Saccharomyces cerevisiae S288C: one gene and its partner. The protein of the gene in region 1 binds, or shares a complex with, the protein of each later gene. Each region holds a gene or a part of one and is shown in the gene's direction. Other genes may lie near its edges.

Evidence for each region. Proteins that work in one complex are often made in the same cells at the same time.
Region 2: the proteins of PEX13 (region 1) and PEX14 are in contact, whole or in part, in a crystal structure (PDB 1N5Z), measured with the Saccharomyces cerevisiae proteins. Residues at the interface, in NP_013292.1 of Saccharomyces cerevisiae: Tyr315 (codon at 2,713), Phe317 (codon at 2,719), Glu320 (codon at 2,728), Asn321 (codon at 2,731), Met324 (codon at 2,740), Glu325 (codon at 2,743), Pro342 (codon at 2,794), Arg345 (codon at 2,803), Asp348 (codon at 2,812), Trp349 (codon at 2,815), Tyr361 (codon at 2,851), Pro363 (codon at 2,857), Tyr364 (codon at 2,860), Asn365 (codon at 2,863), Tyr366 (codon at 2,866); in NP_011362.3 of Saccharomyces cerevisiae: Met85 (codon at 1,912), Pro86 (codon at 1,915), Pro87 (codon at 1,918), Thr88 (codon at 1,921), Leu89 (codon at 1,924), Pro90 (codon at 1,927), His91 (codon at 1,930), Arg92 (codon at 1,933), Asp93 (codon at 1,936), Trp94 (codon at 1,939).

The regions. Positions count from the first base shown.
Region 1 is NC_001144.5:535,502-539,069, forward strand, and holds PEX13 (peroxin PEX13), read left to right. Parts: upstream 1-1,770; coding exon 1,771-2,931; downstream 2,932-3,568. Other genes in the region: MMR1 (Mmr1p), read left to right, coding at 1-1,188; HCR1 (translation initiation factor eIF3 core subunit j), read right to left, coding at 3,291-3,568. UniProt on the Saccharomyces cerevisiae protein: Component of the PEX13-PEX14 docking complex, a translocon channel that specifically mediates the import of peroxisomal cargo proteins bound to PEX5 or PEX21 receptors.
Region 2 is NC_001139.9:214,614-217,798, forward strand, and holds PEX14 (Pex14p), read left to right. Parts: upstream 1-1,659; coding exon 1,660-2,685; downstream 2,686-3,185. Other genes in the region: protein geranylgeranyltransferase type I subunit CDC43, read left to right, coding at 1-598; LYS5 (holo-[acyl-carrier-protein] synthase), read right to left, coding at 665-1,483; NUT1 (Nut1p), read left to right, coding at 2,911-3,185. UniProt on the Saccharomyces cerevisiae protein: Component of the PEX13-PEX14 docking complex, a translocon channel that specifically mediates the import of peroxisomal cargo proteins bound to PEX5 or PEX21 receptors.

The DNA.
Region 1 (3,568 bases):
TTAAAACCCGAGTACCTATCTCAAACAACCAGTAATCTGCCATTGCTATCTGCCCTATTGAAGAATAGCAAGAAAACTACTAGTGAAGGCCAGAATTCAAACCCTGATCCATTGAACATAGAGAAAAACATCATTAAACAAAGCATCAAGGACAAACTAGAGCAGCTGCGCAGTTCAGAATCCGTTGCGCAAGTACAAAAGAAAGAACGCAATCCCCCTTCATTTGAGGCCAAAGTCTGTGCGGAAGAACCGATATTACGGAAAAACGCCGAAGGGTTGCTCCCCTCATACGTTCCTGTTCCTGCTACTCCTTTGGAAGATCCAGAAAATCATGGGGTGCGAAAGGTCGAGGACAAAGGACTTAGAGTCGTCTCCGGCGGCTCCACTCAGTGTCTAAGCACCGAAGTGAACGAATTGCCTAAGGATCTGAATCTAGACAATTTACCTACGGATAATAACGGGTTCGTTCAATATGGTCTCAAAGGCAATAACAACAACAACAGATATAGCTTTATCTCGTCTACGTCGACGGACTATGAGCCCGAATGGTGTGACGGACAACAACATATTTCAATGCAAATGGCCTCTATGGCCAATGCAGAGGAGGCAAATAGTCGTGAAAAATCGAATTTAGACATAAAGATCAAGCAGCTAGAACTTGAAATTACAGAATTAAAGTTGCAGAATGAAAAATTAGTGCATTCCATGACGACGAACAGATACATTGAAGAAAGATTTATGCTTGAGGTTATGAAGGATCCTAGTATACAGGCTCAAAGATCCCAAAGAGATATTGAGAGAAAAGTCAAGCAACTGGAGAAAAAATTCTTCAATTGTAAAAAAGTTCTTAAGAAATTGACTGAATCCTCCGCAGTAGTGGCCACCTCCACTTCAAAAACTGAAGGAAATTCAGCAAGAATCCCATGCCCTAAGACTAGACTGGCACGCGTTTCTGTTTTAGACCTAAAGAAAATTGAAGAACAGCCAGATTCTTCTTCGGGAACTTCGTCCGAGGAAGATCATCTAACAAACGATGATACGGATGCTAATACTAGCGAAGATTTAAATGTTGCTTTTGAAGAGGAGCCAACTTCTGCTATTTCCACAACAGCATCTGTGCAGAGTGGGGAAAGTAAAAGAGGTTTCCAACTTAACCTTCCTGTCCAAGTGGAGAAGAAGGAAAAATGAAGCGTCAACTTCAAATTAAATTAACTTATTTTACACAAACATTCACAATACATCAATGCTGATAGGCGCTTTGTATTGTAGGCTATCGAGTTACGCATCTGCAATGTGCGTGATTTCTCCGTTATCCATCCTTCTCATTGGACAATTTTTATTTGAATATTACTGAACTTCAAAGGGCTTGTCGTGTGATTTAATCTTTTTTCTTACAACGTCGAATGCTGCAGCTATTTATTCATAGTGTCGTCTAAGCAAATACCCCGCTTTTAAAAGCTGAATAGAAAATCCAATCACGGTGTGACTGGTATCACAAACACATAATTTATATATTGCATTCAAGTTTATTCAACCTATACTTAAATACATTAATTACCAAAAAAAATGATATAATAAAGTCTTCTTTTATCTGATTAATGACACCTTTTTCAGCGGGCCAAATTTTTTTTATTTCCGAAGCCCGCCGGACTAATATTAATTATATCAGATAGTTGGTGAGCAAACGCATGTGGAAATGAACAACAATTTCGAAAGTGCATATACTATCTATAAATATCAAGGGGATTCTATACTATAACAATACCTGCGATGTCATCCACAGCAGTACCACGACCTAAACCTTGGGAGACCAGTGCTTCGTTAGAGGAGCCACAGCGTAATGCTCAGTCTTTAAGTGCGATGATGACCTCGAATCAGCAGGATTCCAGGCCAACTGAAGAAAGCAATAACAGTAATAGTGCAAGTGAGTCTGCTCCCGAAGTTTTGCCGCGGCCTGCGGCACTTAACTCCTCTGGTACCTACGGCGAATCGAATACAATACCGGGAATATACGGTAATAGCAATTATGGGATACCCTATGATAATAATCCGTATAGTATGAACTCTATATACGGAAACAGCATAGGGAGGTATGGCTATGGAGGATCGTACTATGGCAACAATTATGGATCGTTTTATGGAGGAGGGTACGGTGCAGGAGCGGGATATGGAATGAATAATGGAAGTGGACTAGGTGAGTCGACGAAGGCCACCTTTCAGTTAATAGAAAGTTTGATAGGCGCTGTTACTGGATTTGCACAAATGCTGGAATCTACTTATATGGCCACACACAACTCGTTTTTCACCATGATATCCGTCGCAGAACAGTTTGGTAATTTGAAGGAAATGCTAGGTTCATTTTTTGGTATCTTTGCTATAATGAAGTTTCTTAAAAAAATACTCTATCGTGCTACTAAGGGGAGACTAGGAATACCACCAAAGAATTTCGCAGAATCTGAAGGAAGCAAAAATAAACTAATTGAAGATTTTCAAAAGTTTAATGATAGTGGTACCATAAATTCTAATGAGAAAGCCACAAGAAGGAAAATTTCATGGAAACCGCTACTATTTTTTTTGATGGCAGTATTTGGTTTTCCATATCTACTAAACAAATTTATTACTAAACTACAGACCTCTGGAACCATACGAGCATCGCAAGGAAATGGTAGCGAGCCTATTGATCCTTCGAAGTTAGAATTTGCAAGAGCGTTATATGATTTTGTTCCAGAAAACCCAGAGATGGAAGTTGCTTTAAAAAAGGGCGACTTGATGGCAATTTTGAGTAAGAAAGACCCTCTTGGGAGGGATTCTGACTGGTGGAAAGTGAGGACAAAGAACGGCAATATTGGCTACATTCCGTATAACTATATTGAGATCATAAAAAGACGGAAGAAAATTGAGCATGTTGATGATGAAACGCGTACACACTAGTGCATCAATATTTGCACACATATATTCGCATATATATATAGTAAAATCTAAAGTAATGTAAATATTCCAGGGAGAATCAGCAGAAACGAGACGAAGTACTTCTTAACAAAAAGCCAGATAACGGTGCAAAAACACATTATATTCTCCATCTTGAAAACACAATCTCCTACGTACACATATGCGTATTTATTTTTATATGAATGAAACGCCTATGGATATATATATGGGAATATAGACATTCACAATTTCAGGACAATTGTGATATGGCAATATCCAAGGCCTGCGGTGCTGGGCTTCGCTTTTTTTCACCAACAAAATGAGATGGACAAGTTTATCATAGCAAAGAAACAATAAGCAGATTACATAAAGTCGTCATCACCGAATTCAAAATCGTCGGGGCCATCTAGGTCGAAATCTTGATCTTTCTTAAATGCGCCACCCAAATTGGTCTTACCTTTGACTTTCTTCTTACCAGCACCCCCAGTAGCAGTACCACCTCTAACACGGGCCAGACGAGCTTGCCTCTCCTCTCTTTCCTTATCTTTGATCAAAACGTTCAAAGTAGCAACTGTTTGTCTTATAGATTCGATGGACATTGGTTTTGCTACATCTCTAATCAAATCAATCGCTAACGATG
Region 2 (3,185 bases), on another chromosome or scaffold:
CGGATGCCGATCCAAAGAAGACTTTGATGAATACATTGATACTGAGAAGTTGCTTGGCTATATAATGTCGCAACAATGCTACAACGGAGCTTTCGGTGCCCACAATGAACCACACTCAGGGTACACATCTTGTGCGCTGTCTACCTTAGCTTTACTCTCTAGTTTGGAAAAGCTATCAGACAAGTTTAAAGAAGACACCATAACCTGGCTATTACATAGGCAAGTATCAAGCCATGGATGTATGAAATTTGAAAGCGAATTGAATGCCAGCTATGATCAATCTGATGATGGCGGTTTCCAGGGAAGGGAGAACAAGTTCGCTGATACGTGTTACGCATTTTGGTGCTTAAATTCACTACACTTACTAACAAAGGATTGGAAAATGCTATGCCAAACTGAACTAGTCACAAATTATTTGCTTGATCGAACGCAAAAAACATTAACTGGAGGCTTTAGTAAAAATGACGAAGAAGATGCTGATTTATATCACAGCTGTCTAGGGAGCGCTGCGTTAGCATTAATTGAGGGGAAATTTAATGGAGAATTATGCATACCTCAAGAAATATTTAATGATTTTAGTAAAAGGTGCTGTTTTTGAAGTTCAAACAGTAATAAGAGTCTATCGATTACATAAATGTGAGCAAGCGAAAAAAAAAAATTGGCATTATAAACCATCATTTTCGATGAAATAATCAATCAACGTAGATAAGCTGATATTATATAATTTTGGTCTGTTCGTGTTGATTTTATCACTGATGGACTTTGGCATACAGATAGTGACAATTTCGTTATTGAACCATTGAGAATGGAAAATCAATGGAACTTCATCCAGAGTTATGCACATAGAAGCTCCCTCAGCCGGAAAAAAGCTGATAGCGCCAAAATCTATTAGTGACAAGTCTGTGTTAAGGCCAGTTCCAGTAAATTTTGTATACGACTCCTTCAAGGACCATAAGTAAGTAAATATTGTGCATGGATCAGACGCTTTCAGTAAACCGTTAAATTCTCTTTCACTAAAAACTTCTTTAAATAGCTCCAACTCTTCCCTCCCGCCATAATTGCACGGAGAAGCGATATCAATTCCGACATCCTGGTATTCATCTGTACTTACACATTTTACGAGGAACATAGCTACATATTGTTCACCGATGGTCATGCTAAATGGAAGAAAACGATTGTTGTCTAAGAATGGCTTACCGAAGCTGCCCTTGTCAAATTTCAGCTCTTGAAAATTTAAGCCCGTTACTATAGAGCAGCCAAACAACTGCAGCAGCTGGCTGCATAGATTTGAACATCTATCGTGAAACGATTTTTTATTGAGGATTCTGGCTTGAGACGCCAATGGCAAAGTTCTCATTAATGCCTCGAACGTAAACTCATCCGCGAGTATATCCTCTTGAATTTCAACAACGAATATACCTGCCCATGGTCTTACACCTGCCACCTTTGAAACTTCGCTTACTACTTCAGTCGTTTTAACCATCCACGGTTTTTTTGCTGAGTGATTCTCTTTCTCCTCATTCTCATTTTAGTCATAGCGGTTTTAATAAGCGCCCGAAAGATAATTGTAAAACATATATTCAATGCTTAAAAATATAAGAAATTGCCCATCAATTTGAAAACTCAAGTAAAACAGAGAAGTTGTAAGGTGAATAAGGAATGAGTGACGTGGTCAGTAAAGATCGTAAGGCATTGTTCGACTCAGCAGTATCCTTTTTAAAGGATGAGTCCATTAAAGATGCTCCACTTTTAAAGAAAATCGAATTTTTAAAATCCAAAGGGTTAACAGAAAAGGAGATTGAAATAGCCATGAAAGAGCCCAAGAAAGACGGTATCGTAGGCGATGAAGTATCGAAAAAAATTGGTAGTACTGAGAATAGAGCCTCACAGGATATGTATCTCTATGAAGCGATGCCACCAACGCTGCCCCACAGGGATTGGAAGGACTATTTTGTGATGGCTACTGCCACAGCTGGGCTGTTGTATGGTGCATATGAAGTAACTAGAAGGTATGTGATACCAAATATTTTACCAGAAGCAAAAAGCAAGTTGGAAGGGGACAAAAAAGAAATTGATGATCAGTTCTCCAAAATCGATACAGTCCTCAATGCCATCGAAGCGGAGCAAGCTGAGTTTAGGAAAAAGGAAAGCGAAACATTAAAGGAACTTAGTGACACGATTGCTGAACTGAAACAGGCGCTTGTGCAGACAACAAGAAGCAGGGAAAAGATCGAAGACGAGTTTAGAATAGTTAAACTCGAGGTGGTCAATATGCAAAATACGATCGACAAATTTGTTTCAGATAATGACGGCATGCAAGAGTTAAATAATATCCAAAAAGAAATGGAATCTCTGAAAAGCTTAATGAATAACCGTATGGAATCCGGTAATGCGCAGGACAACAGATTATTTTCCATATCTCCTAATGGTATACCTGGCATAGATACGATTCCATCTGCGTCTGAGATTCTTGCCAAAATGGGCATGCAAGAAGAAAGTGATAAAGAAAAGGAAAACGGCAGCGATGCTAATAAAGATGACAATGCTGTTCCAGCGTGGAAAAAAGCAAGAGAACAAACTATTGATAGCAACGCCTCCATTCCAGAATGGCAAAAAAATACCGCCGCCAATGAGATCAGTGTCCCTGACTGGCAAAATGGACAGGTCGAAGACTCCATCCCATAGCGCAATTCTATGTAAGTAATTAGTTTTTTAACGGAAATTGTAATTGTAACTGTCCTAGATACTATGGACATTCAATCTGATTGTTACCCGGAACATTTGCTTTTGAAAGGCATTTTTAGTAGCACTAATATATTGGCAGCTAATTGAAACAGTAATCTACAAATATGAGTAAGCTAAACCACCTCAACAAAGCTATTCGTGGCTAGTATATGACCTTGAATTGCCATGGAAAAAGAATCAGTATACAACTTAGCACTAAAATGTGCTGAGCGGCAATTGACCTCCATGGAATTTTCGAACCTTTACAAGGAATTCTTTAATGAAAAGTTCCCGTCTTTGATTCAAGAGGAAGAAGAAGATACAACAACAACTGCAAATATAAATGAGGTCAAGAAAGCGTCCGATTTGGTGGATACACCCAGCAACAACACGGCTGCTACTGCAGATACTACACACTTACACGAGGCTCTAGATATTGTTTGCTCCGATTTTGTTAAAAT